4 linked regions of the Anolis sagrei genome follow. The protein of the gene in region 1 interacts with the protein of each later gene in a biochemical or structural test. Links are inferred from orthologs where the notes say so. Each region holds a gene or a part of one and is shown in the gene's direction. Other genes may lie near its edges.

The links.
Region 2: the proteins of EIF2AK2 (region 1) and DNAJC3 form a complex in vitro, tested with the Homo sapiens proteins (2 studies listed by BioGRID). The link is inferred for Anolis sagrei from reciprocal best matches to the Homo sapiens genes EIF2AK2 and DNAJC3.
Region 3: the proteins of EIF2AK2 (region 1) and PRKRA form a complex in vitro, tested with the Homo sapiens proteins (3 studies listed by BioGRID and IntAct, with this or other methods). The link is inferred for Anolis sagrei from reciprocal best matches to the Homo sapiens genes EIF2AK2 and PRKRA.
Region 4: of the proteins of EIF2AK2 (region 1) and EIF2A, one has a biochemical effect on the other in vitro, tested with the Homo sapiens proteins (4 studies listed by BioGRID, with this or other methods). The link is inferred for Anolis sagrei from reciprocal best matches to the Homo sapiens genes EIF2AK2 and EIF2A.

The regions. Positions count from the first base shown.
Region 1 is NC_090021.1:51,152,940-51,160,168, forward strand, and holds the start of EIF2AK2 (interferon-induced, double-stranded RNA-activated protein kinase), read left to right. Parts: upstream 1-4,212; 5' UTR 4,213-4,689; coding exon 4,690-4,888; intron 4,889-6,978; coding exon 6,979-7,091; intron 7,092-7,229.
Region 2 is NC_090023.1:126,802,152-126,809,326, forward strand, and holds the start of DNAJC3 (dnaJ homolog subfamily C member 3), read left to right. Parts: upstream 1-4,174; 5' UTR 4,175-4,289; coding exon 4,290-4,371; intron 4,372-7,175. UniProt on the Homo sapiens protein: Involved in the unfolded protein response (UPR) during endoplasmic reticulum (ER) stress.
Region 3 is NC_090021.1:189,757,456-189,764,326, forward strand, and holds the start of PRKRA (interferon-inducible double-stranded RNA-dependent protein kinase activator A), read left to right. Parts: upstream 1-3,860; 5' UTR 3,861-3,875; coding exon 3,876-4,117; intron 4,118-6,871. UniProt on the Homo sapiens protein: Activates EIF2AK2/PKR in the absence of double-stranded RNA (dsRNA), leading to phosphorylation of EIF2S1/EFI2-alpha and inhibition of translation and induction of apoptosis.
Region 4 is NC_090023.1:241,294,545-241,302,064, forward strand, and holds the start of EIF2A (eukaryotic translation initiation factor 2A), read left to right. Parts: upstream 1-4,512; 5' UTR 4,513-4,748; coding exon 4,749-4,776; intron 4,777-7,520. Other genes in the region: SERP1 (stress-associated endoplasmic reticulum protein 1), read right to left, coding at 3,549-3,624, 4,296-4,379. UniProt on the Homo sapiens protein: Functions in the early steps of protein synthesis of a small number of specific mRNAs. Acts by directing the binding of methionyl-tRNAi to 40S ribosomal subunits.

The DNA.
Region 1 (7,229 bases):
CCAAAAAGTCCATGTCCATATTGGAAGATGTAAATGAGTCCTTGATTGGTTTAATTGTTCTGATATTGGGCGATGAGGAAGTTTCCTGGGGAAGGTGACAGCGAGGAGCCTTGGGACAAAAGGTGATGATCTTCATTCAGGCTTTGGGTGTCAAATAAAGGGATCCAATATGTGTGACTTCCCCTTTCCACTGTCAGTTCAACTGAAGTGAGTACTGATCAGCAGTTATCAGATGTTGCAGAGGAAACTACTTGTTCTGTACACAGACACAATGGATCATGATTACCACCTTTGTCCAGGACCTGGCCTATCCTGGATGTTCCAGGAAATTCCTCAGTGGGGCTCTTAGAATTATGTAATCTCAGAACTACATTACACAGAATGTCTAATATAAAGCACCTGTGGTCTTCTGTTTTATTTTCTACTGAGTGTGGATAAGGCACCTGACAAGCTGTTATCAGAAAAGTGGTTGCAGATCTTCTTATTGCTTATCGCTAACTGGTTGGAGTAGATGGTCAAATTTAGTTGAGTTTCGTTTTGTACAACAAGGCCTAGAATATCCAGACAATGAAGCCAAAATTGTAGTTACTGGAGGATTCTGGGAGTTGTGGTCCAAAAGGCAACTTACATAAGCTCTGAGCAGATCATCAAGTGTAGCAGAAAAACCCTGCATTACTTAGATGTATTTTTCCTTCCAGTTTCATGCTCTTGCCACCCAGGGCTGCAATCCTTTTTCCTCCCACCAAGGTATAAATCCTGTTTAAATCAGAGCATTTATCTCTGAGTAGATGTGTAGGTTTGTATTGCTAAGGTGTGGTCTACATTTACACCTTTGACAACAAGATTACAACAGTTAAATAATTTATCAGTATATGGATTGCATCTCCTGCAGCAATGCAGTCTTATAACTCCTGACAAGATTAATTTTATTTTAGGAATTATTATTATTATTATTATTATTATTATTATTATTATATACAAATATAGAAACATTAAAACAGAATTAAACACAAACAGTATTTTGAAAAATTAATTAAAACCCATCAAACATATTCCAAGTTAAACATCATAGCATCCTCTGACTTCATCTTCAAATGCCAGTTTGACTAAAAAGGTTTTAGCCTGCCGCCGGAAAGACAGCAGGGAGGAGGCTAGTCTGACTTCCCTAGGAAGAGGGGAGTTCCAGAGTCGAGGGGCAGCCACCAAGAAGGCCTTCTCTCTCATTCCCACCAACCAAGTTGGAGATGGTGGTGGGGCCAAGAGAAGGGCCTTGCTTGAAGATCCCTGGGCCTGGGCAGGTTCATACAAGGGAATGCAGTCAGTCAAATAGCCTGGACCTGAACTGTCTAGGGCTTTAAAGGTCACAACCAGTACTTTGAATTGTGCCCAGTAACAGACTGGCAGCCAGTGGAACTGCTGCAATGGGGAGGGGGGTTTGTCTACTCCCTGCAGCCATTCCCAGTTAGCACCCTGGCTGCAGTTGTTTGGACTAGCTGAAGTTTCCGAGCCTCACATAGAGCACGTTACAGTAATCCAGACGGGATAAAACTAAAGCATGTACCACACCTTGGCTTCTCAAGGAATGGGCACAGTTGGTGCACAAGTTGTAATTTTGGTCAACACAAAAACCTGGGGCTCCAGTTCCAGTTTTGAGTCCAGAAGTATCCCCAAACTGCAGACCTGTGTCTTCAGGGGGAGTGAGACCCCATCCAGCACAGGCTGGATCTCTATTCCCTGGTCTACCTTCCAACTGACAAAAAGCACCTCTGTCTTGTCTGGATTAAGTTTCAGTTTGTTTGCCCTCATCCAGTCCATTACTGATGACAGACACTGGTTTAGGGTCAGGACAGCTTCCTTGGCTTTAGGTGGAAAGGAGTAGTAGAGTTGGGCGTCATCTGCATATAGGTGGCACCATACTTCAAAACCCCGGATGACATCTCCCAGCAATTTCATGTATATGTTTGTGAGGAAGCGTTAATCCCACCGCTTGTCAACAAAATTATGTGAAGAAGCGTTAATGCCACCGCTTGTCAACAAAAATTATGTGAGGAAGCATTAATCTTCTTTAATGCCACCAATATTCTGTGAGGAACCTTCTTTTAGATATCAATTAAACTGCCACCAATATGTTTAGAGACGCTGGTTTATGTCTCTGTTTATCTTTAGTTGTGTTGTGAGGTGACTTTGGTAGTGTGGAATGCACCAAGCATAAAAGCAATGGAGGAGGCAGGTTTGAAATACAAAGAGAACAAGTTTTATTGTCAACAGAACGTAATTGTTGCAGTTTTGAGAATTTGAACTTGGCACAAGGCTTGATGTTACAAAATGGCTGGTTTGAGATACATACAGGCTTCTGATGTTACAATTCTACAAACTCCTTCTTTAGTGAAGTGCTTATACTACTTCAGAGTTCCCTATTGTGAATATCCACACTGTTTGCCCTATACTCGGAACAAACCACTGATCACCAGTCTTTCCTTACTGGCGATCCTTTAAACCCCCTCTGTTAGATTCTTTAACCTAAGCAATCTAACAAGGTAACACCTTCAGCTCTCTTGCTGAAGAAATATTCACAAATTCTAAGAACTACTGAATTCTCACAGCTTCACAACACTCTGAACCTCTTCCCCGGGTCTCATCCACCGGACTGAATATTAACTGACGCTTTCAAACCTTTTATTCCTTAAACTCCGCCCACCTCCTCTGAGGCTGTGTTACCATGGCAACCTATCCCTCACAGTTAGGCCATAGCAACTAATGTAAAACCTAAATACAGTTTAAATACAGTATAATAAACACTCTATAATAAACATTTCTCTACAATGTTGAACAGCATGAAGGACAAAATGGAACAATGAGGAACCCCACAGCACAGCGGCCAGGACCACCTTTTGGGTATGGCACTCCAGGAAGGACCGGAGCCACTGTAAAACCAGCCCCGGCCCATAGAGAGGACCCAGAAGGGTATCATGGTCAATGTATCAAAAGCAGCTGAAAGGTCCAGGAGAACCAACAGGGACACACTCCACCTGTCTAGCTCTCTTTGTAGGTCATCCACCAAGGCGACCAATGCTGTCTCTGTTTTATAGCTAGGCCTGAACGCCTTGGATGGCATTATTTTCCCATTGACTGACCTGGCATTTAGCAGCAGCATTTTCAACCTAGGGGGACAGTCACCCTGCTTATGTAAGGGACCCCAAATCTGAGCTCCTGTTGAAGATCCAATCACAGGAGGCAAACAGACAAAAATGTCTAGGCTCAGGAGAAGAGCAAAAGCAAGGTTTATTCCAGTATGGCCATAAGGAGACGGGTCAGCCGTACTGCACATGCAGGTCACAGTACTTTAAAAAAGGTTGCCGTGTACCACACCCCTTGACCACACATTATATAGGTTTTTCTTATCTATCAAGATTCTACTGCACATGTTTTCTGGGGCAAATTTCAGCCCAGCCCAAGTCTCAACTCTGTTCAGCAAGCCTTATCTTTACACTTAGCTTTTCTATTGCAGAGCACACATTTCCACCCTGCCATTGATGTGTTGCTCCTTCTCTACTGGGAGGGGTACACTTCTTCTTATTATGTTACCAAAGCAAATCTACTATGGGTATCGGCCTCCTTTAGTTATCCAGGTTATTAAATATAGGAGACAATTTGGAAGTAGTATGCATTCTATTTCGCTCCCTCTTTTGTTTGTGTTGAACCTGTTTCCCCCTTCCGCATCTTCTCCTGCTCTGTTTGACCCCACGAATCTAGGGACTTTCTCGCTCCTTAGAAAAACACATCCTTCCTGCACAGGGCAGGCCACCAGAGGATAAAGGCAAATGTTAACTTTTATTAGCCAGGCAGATGTTAACTTGAAGACCACCAAGCAGAGGGACAAGCAACAGTAGCCAAATCTGCTGCTCTTCTCCAAACAGAAGGTATTGACTCTCTTAGCCCTGGCAGACTCCAAGATGGTCCAAAGCAGAAGTTCTCAAACTGTGCAGCCCAAAAGGTTACAGGAATGCTGGGTGTGAAACTCTAATCTTCTGGGCTCAAAATTGTAGAACAAAGTTAAACAAATTCCCCAGGGAGATGTGCTGAACTTTAGAACACAATGCAAAAATATTTTTAAAGGCAATTTATGTGAAATGCTTGCCAAAGTATGCCAGTAACAGAACCATGTTATGCTTTAGGAAGTCTAATCTTATTGCATATCTTAACTGTATTTTAAATTCTTTTGGTTCAGTACTGGAACACATAAAGAAGACTTCTCGTAACTGACAAAGATTAGAAAGATCCTGTTACAGAAGTGCCTAACATTGCCAAACTGAGGAAAGTGTCAGCATCATAGTCATCCCTTAAAGGGGCAGAGATCTCTTTATTTCATCCACTTGGTTTCAGTTAGCCTATTTACTTCACCCTCTGGAGCCCCTGGTGTTCCAATCATGTTTCAGGAGTAATATCTCCTCCCAAAAAATAACTTTATTCAGCCAGCAAAATATTAAGCAATACTTTGCTATAGAAACAAATAAAGCCAGATAGTCTTAATAGCCAGTCTGAACTGGAATCCAGGGTGTGAGCTTATGTAATTCCGGACTTTGTTCTTCTGTGAAATATCCTTTGCTGAGCAATAAAGAGTGTCCAAGAGCACCGAACTGAATCTCCTCTTTAGAAGGGATCTGAATAAGACACCAGTGAGAAGAAAGGATGGCAAAGGAAAAAAGTGGCTTTGCAGAATTTGTAGAGAAGTTCTTAGAGGATGACAAGGATAACGATGATGACCTGCTATTTTCGTACAAAGGAGTCCTGTATCCTAGTCGGCTTTGTAAAGTTGAGACTTTTGAAGCTCTTGAAACCATGGAAGCCAGAAAGGATGATGTCTTGATAGTGGCTTATCCTAAATGTGGTGAGTAGTCTTTTAAGAGGAAATTAATACCTGACCTGCTGATTATTATTTGATGGCAGGTGCCATCTCTTTCCTGCTCAGTTGGAAGTATAGTCAGTCTTCTACATTTTCTGGGCTTAGAGGTGCAAAGGTGGAAAAACTGAATTAAAAATGCATTACTTTTTAACTGAGAGAACATCTCTTTAGAAATGTCTTATTCCTCTAGTGCAACTCTGTGGCCAAATTTGCCATACAGACATACTGGAAGTATGAGATACCTAGAAAGAACATATTAATCTAATATACAAATTCCTGCATATAATCACATAACAGTTGCCTTTGCATCTTAGTTGCACCCCCATGTTCAGGGTGGCAAAATGGGAATTTTAGTATTCTCTGCATAATAGTCATGCTCTTAGTTCACTTGCTCAGGATGTAACTGCCTATGGGACTTCACTCGACTACTGGCCAAGAGAGGCTCTAATGCTGGATTTTTTCCTCCGCTGTATAATAGTTGTATCTCCCTTTTTTAATCCAAAAAGGGATAAAAACGTGTGAAATACGGTAATGGTGAAATACGGTAATCAGATCCACAAATGTAAAACCCACAAATGTAGAGAGACAACTGTACAATGTTGCTTTCTGTTACCAAGGACAAGATCACATTAGAGCTCTACAGATTAGGTCCGTGTTTCCCTCTGAACCAGTTTGCTCCTGCAGAATTCTAGGGAATATAGTTTAGAGCGGAGCCTTTGAAATTCTGAGCTAGAGGTCCTTGGCTTCCCAGAATTCTGCAGAAGCAAACCAGGCAATAGGGAAACACAGGCCTGCAATTTAGAAGTCTCTAATGCAGTGGTTCTCAACTTGTGTGTCCCCAGATGTTTTGGCCTTCAACTCCCAGAAATCCTCACAGCTGGTAAACTGGCTGAGATTTCTGGGAGTTGTAGGTCAAAACACCTGGGAACCCACAGGTTGAGAACCACTGCTCTAATGTGATATCATCAGTAGTTAGACATTCAGGCTGGGTTGCCAGAATCCATGTTTACATCTACAAGCAAAGTTATGCTTGTCAGATGTCTGTAGTAGCCCATTTTGTATCTTTCTAATCCTTCTCCACATCCCACTGATCATCCCCAGGTTATGTAACTAACTAAGCAATACACACCTTCTTGCTCCATGTTCAAGTAACTGGTCATGGGCTGCTAACCTCAAACCTCTTAAAATCATAGAGTTGGAAGACACCAGAGTCATCCAGTCCAACCCCATTCTGTCAGGAAGGAATGCAGAATCAAAGCACCCCCGATTGATGGCCATTCAGTATTTGCTGTAAAACTTCCAGAGGCAGAGACTCCAGCACACTCCCAGGCAGCATGTTCCACTGTGGCAAACAGCTCTTACTGTCAGGAAGTTCTTCCTAATGTTTAGGTGGAACCTTTTTTCCTGCAGTGTAGAATTTTGTGAAATCTGTTTTGATCAATACATGTTTTTTAACACTGGCTCCTATACAAACAATAGCTTCTCTTGCAAACAGTACCTCCAGTTCTTCCTAAAGTTAAGGTGGAACCTTTTTTCCGGCAGTGTAGTATTTTCTGAAATCTGTTTTGATCAATATTGCTTTTTTACACTGGCTCTTATACAAACAATAGCTTCTCTTGTAAACAATACCTCCACTTCAAACAAATGCTGTGCATTTCAGAGCTTCAGAGAGAGTTCAGGCATAAAGCCAAAAGAAAAGTGGCCTCAGGATCATATCCTCAATTGCTTCGTGGTCTTCTTATCTGCTATAAATGCAGCCCAGTGATTTTTGCTTTAAGAATTCGTCATTTCATCCATCAGAATTTGCAATCCTGGGAAAGGATAAAATGGCAAACAATGGTTTACCTCACCTAAGGGGGAAAAACTAGATACACAAAGTATGAGGAGGGAGAATGTCATCCCAAGACTGTTCTTTGCTAATCTGCAAAATGCTAAATGATTGTTAAAATTATTAAAGTCTAGTTATTTTAATATCAATAATTTAGCACAGACGTTGGCACACTGACTGTACTCTTGTCTCTGTGTGTCTTATGTTTTTGGAAGCCATATGGAACTCATTTGCCTTTATGTTGCAGGTACAAATTGGTCATTATATATTTTAAATGATATGGTGGCAGAAATTCACAAGGATATTTCACCCCCGAATAACTTTCAACTGCTTGAGTTTGGACGTCCAGAAAAAATTAAGGTCAGCATGAACTCAAAGTCTTTCTATGAAAGTCAGTGTATATATGACAACTTATTAATGTGCAATTAATTTGTCATCAATGTTGGGAAGGTAGTATTTAATTCACTGCTAGTGTTAATTTATATAAATGATTAGTTT
Region 2 (7,175 bases), on another chromosome or scaffold:
ATTAACAAAACTCAAAAACCACTGGGCAAATTTACACCAAATTCGGACACAATACACCTATCAGGCCAACAAGTGACCATCACTCATAAAAACACTGAAAAATACAGTGGAAGAGACTTAAAAAGCCAAAAACTAAAAAAACAACATTACAACTTATGCACAAAACCACATATATACACATATACACACATATATACATACACATATATACACACACAAAACACATATACACAGACTGGGCCACAGCAATGTGTGGCAGGGGACGGTTAGTGATGAAATAAAATTAAACTGCTAGTCTGATTAGTTTCCGTAATCTTTTGCTTCAAACAAGAAGATGACTTAGGCCACTTTAGTTACTGTCTTGGATATATTTGACAGATGCCATGGTCAGTAGATGTGCATGGATAGCTAGTGTGATGTTTGCTGGCTAATTTGTGCACATCGTATTTTGGAATTTTTCTAAAAAGTGGTACATCTGTTAATTTAATAATCAAATTACAGGCAACCTGATACTGAGTTGGAGCTACTGGTAAGCGGGGTGAGTGGGGGGGGGGGGGGGGTTGATGTAGGAGAAAACTCTAGGTCTAAGTACAAAGTACCAGCAGTAGTATTGTAGTATCACCAAAAATGCAACACCGTGTGAAGTTCATGGTCCTGTTTATCCAGCAGTAAATATCCTAAAGGCATCTGATTGATCCTGGAAGCCAAACATGTTCAACTCTGGTTAATACTTGGACAAAGACCAGGTACTATGGATATTTCACAGGAAGAAGATGGTAAAACAATCTCTGAGTATGTCTTGCTATGAAATCCATACGATTACCATAAGTTGACATGGGGATTAAAGGCACATGCAAACAAATGCTTGTTCATACATAGAACACTAATGCCTTCAGTACACAACTATTTATTAGGATATTTTAGTGGCCTCTAGTGGTTATTAGTGGCATTAATATTTTTAGAATAACCATTGGCTCCTTTTTATTTTATTATTTTTTTCCCAAATACAATAAAAGTTCACTCACAAGTAATAACTTAAAAAGGCAGGGAGAAATGTTGAAAAAAAGTGAATAGAAGAAATAAAATATATAGTAATTTCAAACTGCTTTTTAAGCAATCTTTTTTCAAAAAGTCTCTACTGATTTTTCTTGAATCAAATTGAGATTGGATCCATTTCTGGTAGCTCATTCAGTGACCATTTTCCCTCCATGGCTATGAATATATTCTTCTAAGTCTAGGCACACAACAGTCTTGCCACTACAATCATGTATTGAAGAAGTCTTCTATGGCTCCTTTTTAGTTGTTGTTCCATATGTTTTCTTTGACCAGTGTTTTGTTTTACCACATTGTTAAGAACTGAACTTTATATTGACTGGTGTTTTATTTTCCCAGACTGTAGTAAATTTGTTCTTTCCAAGTTTACTACAATTCAGTCTGGCTTTACCTTACATTAATGACTCCAACTGCAAGCTGGTTTAGTTGAATTAATCCGGTAAAAAGGATATATGCCACAGAATGAAGACAGGTTGTGTATTTGTGTAAGCAGCAAATGGGAGCCCCCGGTGGCACAGTGGGTTAAATCCTTGTGCTGGCAGGACTGTTGACTGAAAGGTCAGCAGTTTTAATCTGGGGAGCAGGGTGAGCTCCTATCTGTCAGCTCCAGCTTTTCATGCAGGGACATGAGAGAAGCCTCCTACAGGATGGTAAAACATCCAGGCATCCCCTGGGCAATGTCCTTGCAGATGGCCATTTCTCTCACGTCAGAAGTGATTTACAGTTCAATGCAGTTAAACTGCATTATATGAGTTTACACTGAGCATATAATGCAAGTTTCCAACAGCATTATATGGCAGTGTAGATGGGACCTGAGCTTCCTTTTGGGGTTGAAGACAGCTTTTAAGGGATGTTTCCTGGCAATAAGCAGTGGTTGTACGTATTTTAAAATATAGAACAGACTGGTTTAAAAATGAATATCAAAGAATTTAAGGCTATTTCACATCTTGATATATTTCAGTCCTTCTCCAGAAAATTACACTATAATCCCACGCAGATCTACAGAAATCCAAGGGTTTGTTTCTCAATAAATCTACTGGGGATAATGGATGATGACCTGTTAGGATCACAACCTACTGGGGATTATGGTTCATGACCTGTTAGGATCATAACCTATTGGTTCGCAGAGTTATGTAGGTGTTCCTCTAGCTTATTGAGTAATGGATGGTCGCTAGGCACATAGTTTCTATTAAGTGCTCTCAGCAGACAAAGATTCAAATTGACTTCTTTAAAAATAGCTTGTTTGTTTACTCATAGCTTCATGTACTAAAATATACAGGCACATTTCTTGTCATGTTAAATTTTAAAACATTTTGGTTTGTATCTTTAACTTATTGTCTTTAATAGTCTTTTCAAAAACTATATTGTTCTGTACAGTTCTCTTTCATAACAGTCTACTATTGAAGAATTCAAGCTTCAACAGTTTTCTAACTTTCTACATTGACATCTGACTGAAAAACAGACTTCTGTACTCAAGCTGACTCAAGACTTAGCTGTCATTCCTCAACTATTATCATGTTTAAAATGCATTATAAACAGTCCCGTGATCTGCAGCCCCTCGCACTGCCTCAAGTATATAGAGCTAAGGAAACTGCAAACCAAAGTAGACATAAGCCTTCGACAATACAAAGTAGACATACACTTTGGGAAATAAAACGACACATTATAAACAGACATAACATTAAATAGAGGAGGCTTGAGAAGGTTGCGATCTCCAACAAAATCGCTACCCTCAAGTCTTTCTGAAACGAATGAGGTTAGTGTGATATAAGTTAATCACATCCCATTGATTTCTTATGAGTTTGTATGTAATTTTCCTGGACGGAGACTTTGTATTAAGAATACAAGTTTAGAGCCCTTGATCCTGAATTCCGAAATATTCCTAAACAGTCCAAATGGCTGGCTGAGATAGAAACACCTTTGCTTTCTTATGCTTTAAGATGTACAAGCTTTGTTTAACATAAAGTTACACAAATATTATGTATGAAATTACTCTCAGGCTGTGCGTTTAAATTGTAAAAGCAGTTTGTGTTTAGACATTTCCAAGATATATCAGTATTCTAAAATCCCACAATATGGAACATTTTTTTTCTGAATGAGGTCACCATCCCAAAGGGATGCATCTACACTGGAGAATGAGTGCAGTTTGACACCACTTTAACTGCTATGGAACTCTGGGGTTTGTACAATCATAGAATCAAAGAGTTGGAAGAGACCTCATGGGCCATCCAGTCCAACCCCCTGCCAAGAAGCAGGAATATTGCATTCAAATCACCCCCGACAGACGGCCATCCAGCCTCTGTTTAAAAGCTTCCAAAGAAGGAGCCTCCACCACACCCCGGGGCAGAGAGTTCCACTGCTGAACGGCTCTCACAGTCAGGAAGCTCTTCCTAATGTTCATATGGAATCTCCTTTCTTGTAGTTTGAAGCAATTATTCCGCTTCCTAGTCTCCAGGGCAGCAGAAAACAAGCTTGCTCCCTCCTCCCTGTGGCTTCCTCTCACATATTTATACATGGCCCTCATCATGTCTCCTCTCAGCCTACTCTTCTTCAGGCTAAATATGCCCAGCTCTTTAAGCCGCTCCTCATAGGGCTTGTTCTCCAGACCCTTGATCGTTTTAGTCGCCCTCCTCTGGACACTTTCCAGCTTGTCAATATCTCTCTTCAATTGTGGTGCGCAGAATTGGACACAATATTCCAGGTCTGGTCTAACCAAGGCAGAATAGACTGTAGTTCGATGAGGCACCAACATTCTTTGGCAGAACGAGCTAAATGCCTTGTAAAACTACAACTCCCATGATATCATGGCAGTGAAAGTGGTGTCAAACTGCATTAATTTAGAGTGTAGAGGCAACCATTGTTATTTCAAGACTTATTCTGTGCAACTTGGAAGCAAACACCGTCAAACTTTCAAAAGTAGCGCCCTGGTGTCGCCCTCCTTGACGTCACAGAGCTTGAAAGGAACTTCATTCCCAAGAGAGGGCAAGCTGACGTCCGTCCGCGCCGGCTTCAACGCCTCCTAACGCGCATGCCCGGGGAGGAGGGGGCGGGGCCCGCTGACCATGGGCTCTCCTGCTCTCCACGTTCCCCTAGCCGGGGGCGGGGCTTGAGGCGGCGCGGCCAATCAGCGGCTCCCACGACCCAGCCCCAGGAACCTGGCTGAGAATGTTGAGAGAGTTGAAGAGTCCCGAACTCCACTTTGACGCGGGTCGGGCGGCGCACGTGGGAACGCAGCAATGGTCTCTCCCCGGGCTTGCGTGCACAAGCTGGCCTCGGCGCTGCCCTTACTCTTGACGCTGTGGGACCTCCACTTTGAGGGTGAGGAGGCTGGGAAGGGGGAGAGGGGTTCTTTTCCTGGGAAATCAATTGGGACAAGGTTAACTTAGACTGCATTTGCCTTTATCCTCTGTCAGCCTTTTGGGGTCGCTCCCTGAATGTGTGGATTGAGGTCTAGGGTGCATCTACACTGTAGAACTTAATGCAGTTTGACACAACTTTAACTGCCATGGCTCATTGCTATGGCATCCTGGGAAATGTAGTTTTACAAGGTCTGGCAAAAAACCAAACTTCCCCAAAGTACAAAACCCAAGTTAAAGTGGAGTCTTCGTGGTATGGTATAGATGTGCCCACACCTCACATTTATAGCACTTTGATACCGCTTTAACTCCCTTGGCTGTTTCCCGTGGAATTCTAGGCTCTGAAATTTGACGAATGATAATAACTTAAGACTTCTTTGCCTGAAAGTTTTAATAGTATTCGGTGATTTGACAAACTTTGGTCTTAAGCGTGTTTTGGACTTCAACTCCCAGAAGCCTCAGCTGCTGTGGCTAGTGGTGAGGGATTCTGGGAGCTGAAGTCCAAAACACTCAGAAGGCCAGAGCTTGGGAAACTCTGGGGGATTCTGTTTCCCTCGCCAAATACAAATCCCAGCGTTGCGTCAGATGTTTTCAAAGTGCTATAGTTACATGGTGTGAAGTCTACATTAGGAAGCAGGACTTCTTCCTGGTCCTGGAAAGGCTCAGGAAGAGACTTGAGATGTGCGATAGGATTCCTATGTATGAGTGCATCCACACTGTAGAATTATTGCAGTTTGACACCACTTGAACTGGCATGACTCAATGCTATGACCTTATGGGAGGCACCAGCAAGCAGGGAAAGGCCTTATAAAACTATAACTCCTATGATTCCATCTATACCTGAGAACAGGCCTGGGCAAACTTTGGCCTTCCAGGTGTTTTGGACTTCAACTCCCACAATTCCTAACAGCCTATCGGCTGTTAGGAATTGTGGGAGTTGAAGTCCAAAACACCTGGAAGGCCAAAGTTTGCCCAGGCCTGCTCTAGAATGGATGCATTTTGGTGCCACTTAACTGCCATGGCTCAGTGCTGTGGAATCATGGGAATTGTAGTTTTTCTATGTGCCTCATCACACTAGAACTCCCAGGATTTCACTCCCAGGACGATACCACTTTAATCATAGCAGTTAAAGTGATACTATACTGCATTAACAGTGCAGATGCACCCATGTCTTTGAATCCTGTTCCCTGTAAGTGTTTAGGATTTCAGCCGTTCACCTAAGGGAGTGCCCAGTTGACATCCTTCTTCCTTGTTTCGCCCCAATCTCTTCCAACGTCATTCTCATTCTCAGACGACAATGACTTCTGGTCTTGCTGCTTTATATGTAAAATGGGAATATCAATCGTAACAATGGGATGATGTTATTGAAGGTCTTTTGAACATCAAAGGAAAGTGACATAAAAACTCTGAGTTGGAGGATCACGTGTAAGACAAGGCTTGCTAGTGTGAGTAAGTTCTGAGGTCCATGAATACGGATTTGTAGTGCAAATATAATGTGTGGCCTCTTAGCACATAAACGGTTAGCAAACATTCAGAAAGTTACAAAAGTTACAGTGAGATCCTGTTAGTTTCTCAGCTTCCTTCCTTTTGTGGACAAGAGAGACCGTCATGTGGCTATGAGGGTTGTTTTGGGCCATGATGCTCAACTTACATAATACCAAAGAATAATATAATAACAACCATACTATATTAACATTACTTTCATAATGCATATAGTCTTGCAGTAGTAATAGCTTTGATTAATGTCTTTGTTTTGATATTACTGGTTGTACGCGCCACGCATTGCTGTGGCCAACCTTCCTCTCCCTCTTTCCTTCCTTCCCTTTTTTATTTCATTCTCTTCCTTCTCTTCCTTTTCCTTTCCTTCCCCCCTTTTCTTTCCCTTCCCCTTTCTCCCTTTTCTTCCTTCTCTACTTATTCTTGGACTGCAACTCCCAGCAGTCCTCTTGATCAATCGATCTATATCTACCTATTTATCTCCATCTGAATCTATCTGGGGGATTGCTGAGAGTTGCAGTCCAGGAATAGGAAATTGGAAATATGCAGGGATTGGGATGCTCTCAAAGAAATCCAAGGAGAAGAAAGCTTGTATCTTGGAAGCGGTGCATTTGGATCATCCTCCTCTCCTAAAGGGCCTGGTTTAGAGGATGCTGGGAGCTGTAGTCCGAAAGAGAGTGTGGATATGCTTTTGTGTGTTTTGTTTGCCAGGGGAGTTGTTTTTGGGCATGCCCTGTAGCGTCTTTTTGCTTTTTTGGCCTTTTAAGTCCCTTCTATTGTGTTTTTCAGTGTTTTTATGAGTGATGGTCACTTGTTGGTGTGATAGGTGTACTGTGTCCAAATTTTGTGTCAATTTATCCAGCAGTTTTTGAGTTATGTCAAACCCACAAATGAACATTACATTTTATTTAAATAGATTATTATTACTACTTATATATAGCTTTTCTCTTTTAGACTCAAAGTGGTATTCCACTTTCTCTTATATTAGACCCTTCTACACAGCTGAGTAAAATCCCACAGTTATTGACTCATATAACTAAGGGCCCTTCTACACAGCCCTATATCCCAGAATATCAAGGTAGAAAAACCCACATTATCTCAGTGTGGACTCAGTTAACCCAGCTCAAAGCAGATATTGTGGGATTTTCTGCCTTGATATTCTGAGATATAGGACTGTGTGGAAGGGCCCTTAGAGATCCCTTTTTATTTCCCAATTTAGTCTTAATTTCTATATGATGGGAGTATTTTTTCTTGCTGTTACTTTACTTT
Region 3 (6,871 bases), about 140 Mb from region 1:
TCATTCACTGGACCAAATTTGGCACAAATACCCGATATATCCAAATTTTGAATACTGGTGGAGTTGGGCAGGGAATTGATTTTGTCATTTGGGAGTTGTAGTTGCTGGGATTTATAGTTCACCTACAATCAAAGAGCATTCTGAACCCCACCAACGATAGAATTGGGCCAAATTTCCTACAAAGAACTCTCATGACAACAGAAAATACTGTGTTGTCTGATGGTCTTTGGTGACCCCTCTGACACCCCCTCATGACCCCCTCAGGGGTCCTGACCCCCAGGTTGAGAAACACTGCTTTAAAACATAACAGAGAGTGGGTGTAACTGGGAAGAAGTTGTGATCACATTCTAGTTTAGGAGGGACAGTACTGGCACAGTTTCTGTAGACTTCTACATTCTCCAACTGCCCCCCCCCCCCCCGGCTGCCAAAAAAAAAAAAAAAAGGCAATATACAACATAGTCATGAAAAATAGTGAAGAAATCTAAGATTTTCCACTGAGGGCCAGAATACCAGCAAAGTATGAGCAAAGAGGGGGTTCACACCCTTTCTATCTAAAGCACATGTGCTCTGCTAAAATCGTGGGTTCGGATCCCTGAGTGTCAAGCCACCAAAGGACTGAATAAAATGCAGATAGACTGAAGGCAAAATCAGAGTCATTTATAAATCTTGGTCAACATTTATACCAGAAGAATCTGCGCTCCAAAGAAAGACATACAACTGCGAACAGATTTCTTTTTAATGTTTGACAGCTACTCAAAACAAAGGCACATTGCCACGTAGGCTACTGATTCATCTAGAGTGGCACCAGCTAGGATCCCTCTCCATTTTCTTCTTCACTGATTGACTCTGGTAATGGTGGGAAATTTAATAAACTGTCTTTGGATTATTTTTGAAGGCTTCTTGATCCGCCCATCAGAAGAATGCGCATGGAAAGAAATGTGATATGGCAAGGGATAATGGGCTGGGATGGGCTTTGATATCTCTGCTCTAGTCAATACAATGGGTGCCAGTGAGGTAAATAAAAGGGAGGTCAGGGTGTGGGCAAATTCAACTGGGACCCCAAGAAGGGGGTCCAACTTCAATAAAGGTGAGAAAACATTCTCAAGAATAGAATGAGATCACCCCATGGCTCACTTCTAAGCCCTTTATGCTTTCCGTGTGTCATCTCAGGGTATTGTGAAGAGGACTATGCAACTATTGTGTAGACATTCGCTGAGGTCTGAGACGTGTATGGTGCTTATGCAACATTTGTGTGTGTGTGTGTGGGGGTTGGTTAATGAAAGACTGAGGGCCTTCTCAGTGGTTGCCCCCCACCTCTGGAACGCCCTTCCAAGGGAAATAAGGCAGGCCCCATCCCTCCCCTCCTTTCGTAAGAGCTTGAAGACCTGGTGTTTTCAACAAGCCTTTGAAAATGACCAGTTCTAACTCAGCCCTACACATTGTCGAATGTGGCCTTATTCTTCCTACCAATTATCCAGATTCTTTCCTCTAATCGACCCCAGAATGAACAGCCACAGACCTGTACCTAATATTATTGTTGCCTGTCAACAAGGGGTTCCCTATCAATCCCTATGGAGCTGTGGACTCTAGGGTTTATCCTTTTGGGGATCTGGTTTTCAGTAACATATGCGTCAACTCTAGGCACATGAGTTAAATCCACACCACTATGCCACTTTATGTGCTCCTTCAGATACTGGGCTACAACTCTTTTATTACTCATCATTAGACACAATTACTCGAGCTGATGGGAGTTACAGTACAGTAACACCTGAAAGGCTGCAGTTTGTTCTGTTTAGTCGGGATATTGGGGTTGTGGATATAATGCCTGACTTTAAAATGTCATTTAACCCTTCCCCAATATTAGAGCCACAAGGGTTGTTGGGTTGCAATTCCCATTATCCCCAGTCCGCATGGTGGATAATCAAAAGTGATGGGTGTTGGTGTTCAATAACATCTGGGGACACAAACTGAGTAAAAACTAAAGAGCACTGACCAGTATGTAAAAAAACTGTATAGCTGGGCTCTCTTTATCCACTGATTCTCTGTCCATGAATTAAATAGCCCTTTGAAGTCAACCATAAGGCTAATGTGGCCCTCAGTGGAAATGAGTTTGATATCCCTGGTCTAAAGGATAAAGTTTGTTCTTCATCATCATCGCTATTCCAGATCTCCATTCTGTTAAGAGTTTATTAAAATAATAATAAACCCAAACTTCTAAAATATTAAGGATGCATTCATTGGGGTGGGGGGGGGGGGGAGGGTTAGATGATTTCCACTCCGGTGGGAAGCTTCCCATCAACAAGGTGAAGTATCATAGCGATGAAGATGGAGAATAAAGTCGGGGCGATAACACGTCCCTGTTTGACACCCGATTCCACCTTAAATGGTTACGCTCAAGCCTCCTTCCTTGAGAACCGCCTTCACCGAGCTGCGATTTCAAGTGATGCCTGATGCCAACCGCAGTGTTAGATGGTCGCTACCAAAATGTTCCCTGGGAAAACAGACTATGTATTTGTAGTCAATGTCAGGTAGAAGACATTGTGCATTACCTGTTAGTCTGCCCATTGTATAGCGACCCAAGGGAAAGACACCTGAAACCCTTGTTGACACAAGATGAAGGGAACTCTATTGCAGAAACAGTGCAGTTTCTACTGGGCGATACAAATGACTATGTAACCTACAAAGTAGCCCTTTTTGCTCGCTCTGCAAAAAAGATCAGAAAGACAGAGTTAGATAAAATTGCTATCAACTGCCAAGGAGATTTTAAGGGTTAACTGCCTTGGGCCCGTACAATAAACTATTTTGATTGATTGACCTTAAATGGGTCACTTTGGGAGCCACTGCTGTCCAAGACTGTTGCCATCATGTTCCTCTCACATATTTATACATGGCATATTTATACATGGCTATCCTATCTCCTCTCAGCCTTCTCTTCTTCAGGCTAAACATCTTCATAAGGCTTGTTCTCCAGACCCTTGATCATTTGTGCTAAGTTTGGTCCAGTGAATGAAAAGACATCCTGCCTATCAGGTATTTCATAGAATCATAGAATCAAAGAGTTGGAAGAGACCTCATGGGCCATCCAGTCCAACCCCCTGCCAAGAAGCAGGAATATTGCATTCAAATCATCCCTGACAGATGGCCATCCAGCCTCTGTTTAAAAGCTTCCAAAGAAGGAGCCTCCACCACACTCCAGGGCAGAGAGTTCCACTGCTGAACAGCTCTCACAGTCAGGAAGTTCTTCCTTGTGTTCAGATGGAATCTCCTCTCTTGTAGTTTGAAGCCATTGTTCCGTGTCCTAGTCTCCAAGGAAGCAGAAAACAAGCTTGCTCCCTCCTCCCTGTGGCTTCCCCTCACATATTTAATCATGTCTATCATATCTCCTCTCATCCTTCTCTTCTTCAGGCTAAACATGCCCAGCTCCCCAAGCCGCTCCTCATAGGGCTTGTTCTCCAGACCCTTGATCATTTTAGTCGCCCTCCTCTGGACACATTCCAGCTTGTCAATATCTCTCTGGAATTGTGGTGCCCAGAATTGGACACAATATTCCAGATGTGGTCTAACCAAAGCAGAATAGAGCATGGGGAGCATTACTTCCTTAGATCTAGACAGACACTATGCTCCTATTGATGCAGGCCAAAATCCCATTGGCTTGTTATGAATCGTATTTACACTACGATTCATAACAGAAGCAAAATCGCAGTTATGAAGTAGCAACGAAAATAATGTTACGCTTGGGGGGGGGGGGGTGTCAGCACAAGACGAGGCAGCGTCTTAAGGGGTGGCAGCGTGAGGAGGGTGGAGTGGCCGCCTGGCTGGGGTGGGAGGGCTGGGCTTGGCTCCGCCTGGCTGCGCTGGCCCCGGAAACACACGTGATGCGCGGGAGGGAGGGAACCGAGGGAGGCTTTCCCGGCCAGGAAGAAGAAGGAGAAGAAGAAGAAGCGATGGAGGCGGAAAAGGAGAAGGCGGAGGAAGAGGAGGAGGAAGAAGAAGAGGCAGGGAGCGGCGGCGTGGCGGCGGCTCAGCCCCAGGAGGGCAGCTTGGGCGCCGAGCCCGCCACCCAGGCCGAGGCGGAGAAGCAGCCGTCGCCATCGCAGTCGCCTCCCACCCCCACCAGGTCTGAGCCAAGGGCGGCGCCCGCGTGGAGAGAAGCACGGAGGGAGGGAGGGAGGGGGTTGCTCTCGCTGCTCCCATTCATTGCATCTCTCTCCCCCCACCCCCCAAAAATCCCCAATCTGATGTTGCAAGCTAAGTATCACCCACCCTGGTTAGGATTTAGGCGGGAGACCGTCCACCCACGAATGCAAAAGCGAGGAGATTTCACTCCCCCCCCTCCCACCACGCTTTAAGAGTACCTTGTGAAACTACAACTCCCAGCATTCCATGGGGTCAAATGCAATTAATTCTAGGTGCACCCTCGCGGTCTCCCTAAGGAAACCCTGTGCAATTCGCCATCTCAAGACACATGGGGTGAACTATATCCTCATTGCACTGCCATTATCATCTAGGTCATCAAAACAGATATTATCTGCGTTGAACTGGATTATAGGAGTCTCTATTGCAGTGGTTCTCAACCTGGGGGTCGGGACCCCTGGGGGGGGGTCATGAGGGGGTTTCAGAGGGGTCGCCAAAAACCATGCAAAAACGTATTTTCTGTTGGTCATAAGGGTTCCATGGGGGAAGTTTGGCCCAATACTATCATTGTTAGGGATCAGAATGATCTTTTATTGTAGGTCAGGGGTCCACAAACATTTTAAACAGAGGGCCAGATCACAGTTCCTCAAACTGTTGGAGGGCCGGATTATAATTTGGAAAAAAATGAATGAATTCCTATGCACGCTGGGCATATCTTATTTGTAGTGCAAAAACACTTAAAATACAATAATTAAAATGAAGAACAATTTTAACAAATAAAAACCTATTAGTATTTCAATGGGAAGTGTGGGCCTGCTTTTGGCTGATGAGATAGCATTGTTGTTGTTGTGTGCTTTCAAGTCTTTTCAGACTTAGACTGAGCGAGGGCCAGGTAAATTACCTTGGAGGGCCGCATCCGGCCCCCGGGCCTTAGTTTGAGGACCCCTGTTGTAGGTGAATTATAAATCCCAGCAACTAAAACTCTCAAATGCCAAGGTCTATTTTCCCCAAACTCCACCAGTGTTCATTCACATTGGGCATGTTGAGTATTCATGACAAGTTTGGTCCAGATCCATCATTATTTGAGTCCACAGTGCTCTCTGGATCTAGGTGAACTACAACTCCAAAACAAGGTCAGTGCCCATCAAACCCTTCCAGTATTTTCTATTGGTCACGGGAGTTCTCTGTATCAAGATTGGTTCAATTCCATCGTTGGAGTTCATAATGCTCTTTGAGTGTAGGTAAACTATAAATCCCAGCAACTACAACTCCCAAATGACAACATCAATCCCCTGCCAACCCCACCAGTATTCAAATTGGGGCATATCATGTATTTGTGCCAAATTTGGTCCAGTGAATGAAAATACATCCTGCATATCAGATATTTATATTATGATTAATAACAGTAGCAAAATTGTAGTTGTGAAGTAGCAACACAAATAATATTATTGTTGGGGGTCACCACAACATGAGGAACTGTATTAATTCAAAGCACCTCAGACAGATGGCCATCTAGCCTCTGTTTAAAAACCTCCAAAGAAGGAGCCTCCACCACACTCCGTGGCAGAGAGTTCCACTGCTGAACGGCTCTCACAGTCAGGAAGTTCTTCCTCATGTTGAGATGGAATCTCCTCTCTTGTAGTTTGAAGCCACTGTTCTGCGTCCTAGTCTCCAGGGAAGCAGAAAACAAGCTTGCTCCCTCCTCCCTTTGACTTCCTCTCACATATTTATACATGGCTATCATATCTCTTCTTCAGGCTAAACATGCCGAGCTCCTTAAGCCGCTCCTCATAGGGCTTGTTCTTCTATGGCAGTCAAGAAGGGTCCTATGTATTAAAACGACATATTCCTCCCAATCCCATCTGATCTTGGAAGCTGACCATATACACATTCCCCTCTCTTCTTTCTTGCCTTCTTTTTTTCCTTCCTCTCTCTCTCCTTTCTTTCTTCTTTCTGCCCTCTTTCTTCCCCCCCTTTCTCTTTCTTTTTCTTTTTCTCTTTCTCTTTCCCTTCCACACAGCCCTATATCCCAGAATATCACAGCAGATAATCCACAATATTTGCTTGAATAGGGTTATCTTAATCCACACTGTCATATAATCCAGTTCAATGTGGATTTTATACAGCTGTGTGGAAGGCCCCTTCTTTTCCTTTGTTTCTTTGCCTCCAGTCATATCTTTTTCTCTTTTCCTTTCACTTCTTTTTTTTTCCAGATCTTGGAAGCTGAACATAATCATCCCTGTTTAGAATCATAGGCTGGATCTACACTGCCATATAATCCAAGTTATCAAATCAAATAATCCAGATTATCTGCTTTGAACTGGATTTTATGAGTCTACACTGCCATTAATCCAGTTCAAAGGCTGGTTCTACACTGCCCTATAATCCAAGTTATCAAATAATCCAGATTATCTGCTTTGAACTGGATTTTATGAGTCTACACTGCCATGTAATCCAGTTCAAAGCAGATAATCTGGATTTTGTATTACAGTGTAAATTGGGCCATAGAGTTGGAAGTGACTCCACCAGGCATCCAGCCCTACCCCCTGCCACACAGGAAAAGCACAATCAAAACACCCCCGACAGATGACCATCCCATTCTTGGATGGGAGGCCACTAATGACTAGCATTACAATGCTCGGATAATGTGGGATTTTCTGCCTTTATATTCTGGATTATATGGCTGTGTGGAAGGGCTCTAAGGCATATGAATGAAAGTCCTTAATAGACATGTGAT
Region 4 (7,520 bases), on another chromosome or scaffold:
CTAGCAAGGTTTACCAAGATGATTTTATTCCTTTCCTTACCATAAAATATGGATATACTATTTATAGCTCACTTATAGTTATTTTAAAATAATTGTTTCTGATCTTATCATGAATGGGAGTTGCTAAAATAGACTTTATCATAAGATATCAAGCTTTTTCCTTTAACATAATTTGGTTAGGCCTTTTTTATTTTCAACACGTGTGTAAAACCAAAGAGAGAAATAATAAAACCCAATATTATTATACCGTTATTAGTCTCAATGGATATACAAAGCTGACGTTGCTACAGTTAAAGAGATCAACTAAGCACATGACACTCTTAATGACAGTGTTTAGAACACTTGCTTTGCATAAGCCTTTTTTTTCAAAGATACCCAATTGCAGGAAGACTACCTTGCAGGTGATTTGGCTATTTAAACAGGGAAGTCTCAAATCATAGTGAGCACAAATATGAATGTGTTTATTATGAAGTGAATTCCACTGAGTTGTGAGATTAACCGACATCTTCCAATGATAGGAAATTCTACAATCCTTACATGCAAGTCTCACTCGTGCACTTATTCTTGTTGACCTACATAAAGTCAATGATAGGGAAGGTGGTTACTAGGGGAATGTGGACAGATGAAGACGTATGAAGTGCAAATTTCTTAAAACAGAGTTGAGTAACAAAGCAGTCATTGCTGTTGCAACTCACACTGAGGCTGTAACTCCATTACACTAAATGAGGTCCCAGGATAGATCACCTGCCACTCTCTATCGAGCCCTCCTGAATTCTCCCTTCACACACACTTTCTACTGATCACTAGTAAACTACAGTATTAGAATTCCTTGAGAGGAAAAAGGATCTTTCCAACCACTACTGGGAATTTTTAAATGCTATTTATATTTCATCCTATTTTAACATCTGTATATTTGAAATGGATATGCGGATGCTTTTATGTTAAGCTGCTTTGAGCTCCCTGCGGGGGAGACAAATAATAAAAATAAGCTTTATTTATATCCTGCCCCCTCTCCCAGGTGGGACTCGGGGTGGTTTACAACAAAACAGCAAATACAGTAAATGATATATCAAACAATAATCGCATGTCAATTAATAAAACAAAATGGTACAGTATTGTGAACAAAAATAAACAGTTTAAAATACTATTTAGCCCTCTAAAACAGTATACATATAAAACACTCTTTAAAAGCAGCCAATTCCTATGATAAGGGTATCCAGCATTATAAGTTATAGTTCTGATAACCATTTAAAGTCCTGTTCGATAGGGTGGTTAATGCTCCTAGCCATCATCAAAAGCCTGCTTAAACATCCAGGTTTTCAACTCCTTCCTGAAAGTTATGAGGGTGGGTGCTTGTCCAATTTCCTTGGGGAGGGCATTCCAAAGGCGCGGGGCCACTAACAAGAAGGCTCTCTCCCTTGTCCCCACCAACCTCACTTGTGAGGGGGATGGGATTGAGAGGAGGGCCTCCCCAGCTAACCTTTGAGTGGGGTATAAATGAATTTGATAATAATAAGGCCTGAAGCTATGTTTTGTGGAACCAATCATCTAGCACTTCTTCTCCATGAATACTTAAAAACTACAGCTCAATTTTCTTTCAGTTTTCTAAATAGAGTTGATGCCACCACCTGCACATGTGGTAAGGCTAATAAATTAGATCAATCACTGAATGTGTAAAAGGTAAAGATTTCCCCTGACATTAAGTTTAGGGGGGGGGGGGGGGAGTGTGCTCATCTTCACTTCTAAGCCGAAAAGCTGATGTTGTCAGTCGGTCACATGGCCAGCATAACTACATGGAGTACCGTTACCTTCCCGCAGAAGCAGTACCTATTGATCACATTGGCATGATTTTGGACTGCTAGGTTGGTAGAAGCTGGGACTAACAGCAGAAGCTCACCCTTCTCCCTTGATTCGAACCTCTGACCTTTCGGTCAGCAAGTTCAGCAGCTCAGTGGTTTAACCCACTGTGCCACCAGGAGGCCCACTCTAAATGTGTGGATGTCAACAATTGCAGGCCGGGACCAACTTGGGCCCTCCAGATATTTTGCACTCCAACTCCCACAATTCCTAACAGCAGACCAAAACACCCAGAGTGCTCAAGTTGCCCCATGCATCTTGTAGGGTTGTTGTGTTAAAATATGAACTTCAATATCAATAAAAGGTATCAGAAAGCCTTGACACACACCTTCACTGTCCCCTCATCTCTGGAACTCCCTCCCCAGGGAAAATAGGCTGGCACCCACCCTACCCACATTCCATACGGAATTAAAGATGTGGATGTTTCGTTGTGCATTTGACTGATGACCCCTATGACAAATGATCTATATCATGACATGAATCTGAATTCCTATATTACGTTTCTATATATTTTTAAAGTTATGCTGAATTGATCCTGTTTAATTGCTCTGTTTCCATGCTATTTCCTATGCTATTTATTTATTTATTTAAAACTTTTATATCCCGATCTTCTCTACCTCTGTAGATGGACTCAGACCAGCTAACAGCCAGAATTCAATGCTAAACAGTAAAAATCAAAGACAACATATAACAAAAGTAAATTACCAATATATATAAAATAAATACACAAAAGCAGTTCGCCAAGATAAAAAACATGTCCAACTCAGTCCGTATATTGTGGTCAATACTTTGGTCGATTATCAGTCTCACCCATCATTCTGCAAACGCCTCACTCCACAGCCAGGTTTTCACTAGCTTCCTAAAGGTCAGGAGGGAGGGGGCAGATTTAATTTCCTTCGGGAGGGAATTCCATAGCCACCACAGAAAAGGCCCTGTCTCTCATCCCCATCAGACGCGACTCCGAAGGTGGTGGGATCGAGAGCAGGGCCTCTCCAGATGATCTTAACGCTATTATATGTTTTGATCCACCTTATCCTTTAACCAGTTTGCATAGTGGTCCTCCTTCCCTGCCTCTCCAAAATTAGCCTGCTGTTGCTTTTGATGCTTGTTTATTATTGTTATGTTGTTTTATGCTGTTTTAATTTGTTATTTTTCCCCCTGTTGAAATCTTTCTCTTCAATTGTTTTTTATTTTATTTAAGTAGACATCCATTTGGAAATGTTTGTTGCATACAGTGCAATACTTTCTATCTATTGTTTTGATTTTAATTGTATTTTGCCTTGGCCCCATGTGAGCCACCCTGAGTCCCTTCGGGAAGATGGAGGCGGAGTAGAAAAATAAAAGTCCTTCTTCTTCTGACCCTGTCACGACTCACTTACTGGATCCACAGACCTCCATCTGCTGTTGCTTTTGTTGCTTGTTTATTATTCTTATGTTGTTTTATGCTTTTTAAATTTGTTATTGCTTTTTTCCCCTTGCTGAAATCTTTCTCAATTATTTTTATTTTATTTAAGTAGACATCCATTTGGAAATGTTTGTTGCATACAGTGCAATACTTTCTATCTATTGTTTTGTTTTTAATTGTATTTTGCCTTGGGCTTGGCCCCATGTGAGCCGCCCCGAGTCCCTTCAGGGAGATGGAGTAGAAAGATAAAGTTCTTCTTCTTCTGACCCTGTCACGACTCACTTACCGGATCCACAGACCACGAAGATGAAGAGCGCCAGCAGCCAGGGCCCCACCGAAGCCTTCTCTTCCGGGGCGTTTCTCTGTGGGGAGAAGAGCCAGAATCATAGAATCATAGAGTTGGAAGAGACCTCATGGGCCATCCAGTCCAACCCCCTGCCAAGAAGCAGGAATATTGCATTCAAAGCACCCCTGACAGATGGCCATCTAGCCTCCAAAGAAGGAGCCGCTACCGCACTCCGAGGCAGAGAGTTCCACTGCTGAATGGCTCTCACAGTCAGGAAGTTATCAAAAAGGAGAAGGAGGAAGAAGAAGGGACCTCATGGGCCATCCAGTCCAACCCCCTGCCAAGAAGCAGGAATGTTGCATTCAAAGCACCCCTGACAGATGGCCATCTAGCCTCCAAAGAAGGAGCCGCCACCGCACTCTGAGGCAGAGAGTTCCACTGCTGAACGGCTCTCACAGTCAGGAAGTTATCAAAAGGGATCAGGAGGAAGAAGAAGGGGATTAAGAAGAGGAGAAAGCAGATCTGGGCCAAGTTGGGCCCTGCAGGGGGTTGGGACTTCAACTCCCACCATTCCTAACAGCCTCAGGCCCTTTCCTTTTCCCCCTCAGCCGCTTAAGAGGCTGAGGGGGGAAAGGAAAGGGCCTGAGGCTGTTAGGAATGATGGGAGTTGGAGTCCCAAACCCCTGCAAGGCCCAACTTGGCCCAGGCCTGCTTGAGATGGCCTGTCCCCTCCACACCCGCCCTTACCGAGGTCTTGGCCACGTTCCCGCGTTGTGTGATGTTCTTGCTGTGCTTCTCGTTGGCCATCCGGATGCGCTGCTTGGCCACCATCTTTGCTGTTGCTCCCTCCGAGCGGGACCTGCCTCCAGCCAAGGCGCCGCGTAAGCAGCAACTGCCCCTCTCACGCAGGCCCCGCCTTCCGGAAGCGCGTCACCAGCTGCCACTCGGAAGTAGCCCCCTCCCCCTCGGGGGAGAGTCTATTTCCTAACCTTCCCCGCGCTCTTCTCCTATCCGTGTTCGCCGACCAATAGCGAGGCTTGCTTTGGGTGCGCGTGACTTTGGGAAACTCCGCGCCCCTCCCTTCGGGTTGGTACACGTCACCACGGCTCTTGAGCTGGCGGAGGAGAGAGAGAGAGAGAGAGACGTGTCCAGCTCCGCCTCCCCGCGACCCGGAAGAGGAAGGTCCGGATCCGGCTCAAGATGGCGCCTCCCACGCCACTCCTGGCAGGTGGGTTCAAGGCTAATCAATAGGCTTCTTTCTCATTCCTCTTTTCTCATTCCTCTGTATTGGGATGTTTTTCCAGATTCTTTCCCTTCACTCCAGGGCTCTTCAAGCGGTACTTTCTAGCCTCGTGTTCATAGATTGGTAATCTTCGTGTGGTACACCTAATAATTCAATGTACATTGTCACACCTAGCTTCAGCAGAGAGCTGTCTATCAACAAAGATTCCCTCCAGGCACTTCCAAGCGATTCAATGCTAATCAAGGTGGTCAGCTGAAACATTCACACCTAGCTCTAGCAGGCCCCACCCCAGTCATTCCACAGATATATAAACCCATTTTCCTATTTCCAACAGACCTCACTACCTCTGAGGATGCTTGCCATAGATGCGGGCGACACGTCAGGAGAAATGCCTCTAGAACATGGCCCTATAGCCCGAAAAAACCTACAAGAACCTAACCATCAATGTACATTATTTATTTATTGGCCGCATTTGTATACCACCTAGAATTATAAGTTGGAAGAGACCTCATGGGCCATCCAGTCCAACCCCCTGCCAAGAAGCAGGAATATTGCATTCAAAGCACCCCCGACAGATGGCCATCCAGCCTCTGTTTAAAATCTTCCAAAGAAAGAACTTCCTGACTGTGAGAGCCGTTCAGCAGTGGAACTCTCTGCCCCGTAGTGTGGTGGAGGCTCCTTCTTTGGAAGCTTTTAAACAGAGGCTGGATGGCCATCTGTCAGGGGTATTTATTCATCGTGTCATCAGCAACCATACCATTGTATTACATTTCTAACAGAACAAAACAAACAAACAGATAAAAAAGCAAACTTGGTAGTTGACTAAATGTCTTTTGACCAGTAGCTGGCCACTTGGAGAGCCTCTGGTGTTGCCGCAAGAAGGTCCTCCATTGTGCATGTGGCAGGGCTCAGGTTGCATTGCAGCAGGTGGTCAGTGGTTTGCCTCTAGAACATGGTCCTATAGCCCGAAAAAACCTACAAGAACCTAGGTCAGTGGTTTGCTCTTCTCCACACTCGCATGTCGTGGATTCCACTTTGTAGCCCCATTTCTGAAGGGTGGCTGCATCTCGTGGTGCCAGAGCGCAGTCCGTTCAGCGCCTTCCAAGTCGCCCAGTCTTCTGTGTGCCCAGGAGGGAGTCTCTCATCTGGTATCACCTACGGATTGAGGTGCTGGATTTGAGCCTGCCACTTTTGGATTCTCACTTGCTGAGGTGTTCCAGCGAGTGTCTCTGTATATCTAAGAAAACTATTTCTTGATTTAAGTCGTTGACGTGCTGGCTGATACCCAAACAAGGGATGAGCTGGAGATGTTGCTGCCTTGGTCCTTTCACTATTGGCTGCTACTTCCTGGCAGATGTCAGGGGTGATTTGAATGCAATATTCCTGCTTCTTGGCAGCAGGTTGGACTGGATGGCCCATGAGGTCTCTTCCAATTCTATGATTCTATGATTCTAAGGAGCCTCCACCACACTCCGAGGCAGAGAGTTCCACTTCTGAACAGCTCACACAGTCAGGAAGTTCTTCCTCATGTTTAGATGGAATCTCCTCTCTTGTAGTTTGAAGCCATTTTTCCGCGTCCTAATCTCCAGGGAAGCAGTAAACAAGCTTGCTCCCTCCTCCCTGTGGCTTCCTCTCACATATTTATACATGGCTATCATATCCCCTCTCAGCCTTCTCTTCTTCAGGCTAAACATGCCCAGCTCCTTAAGCCGCTCCTCATAGGGCTTGTTCTCCAGACCCTTTATCATTTTAGTCGCCCTCCTCTGGACACATTCCAGCTTGTCAATATCTCTCTTCAATTGTGGTGCCCAGAATTGGACACAGTATTCCGGATGTGGTCTAACCAAAGCGGAATAGAGGGGTAACATGACTTCCCTAGATCTAGACACTATGCTCCTATTGATGCAGGCCAATAGGAAGGATATTAAGCCAGATTATTTATTTATTTATTTCGCATATTTGTATGCCGTCCTTCTCACCCCCAGAGGGGGACTCGGAGCGGCTTCGCAACAGGCATTCATTCAATGACAACAACAGTAATAAATGATAAAAGCAATCAAAACATAAAATTACTAAAATATTGTTTAAAACACGCAGATTTGAAATCATAGTCCAGGTCAGTACATTGTCCTTCACACAAATTGGACCTCATTCTAAACTGCTGCCTCTACTGTTTGAATGCTTAGTCCCATAACCAGGCTTTGGGTTTCATTCTCAAGGACAAGAGGGAGGGGGGCAATCTAATGTTACTGGGTAGAGAGTTCCACAGGCGAGGGGCTGCCTCTGAGAAGACCCTGTCTCTTGTCTCCGCCAAACGCGCTTGCGAGGATGGTGGGACCAAGGGCAGGGCCTCTCCTGTCGATCTTAGACTTTGTGATGGTTCATAACAGAAGATACGTCCTGACAGGTAAGCTGGACCAGAACTGTTCAGGGCTTTATAGGCTAAAGCCAGCACTTTAAATTGTGCTCAGTAGCAGATTGGCAACCAGTGGAGCTGGCATAGCAGAGGGGCTGTATGCCGCTTCAGTGAGCAACCTGGCTGCCTTCCATTGGATTTGTTGAAGCTTCTAAAGCAGTCTTCAAAGGCAACCCCACATAGAGTGTATTGCAGTATTTTGTTTGCGATGTAACGCGAACGTGGACCACCCATGGTATCTGCTTTGAACTGGAATATTTGAGTCCACACTGCCATATATCCCAATTCAAAGCAGATAATGTGAGATTTTATT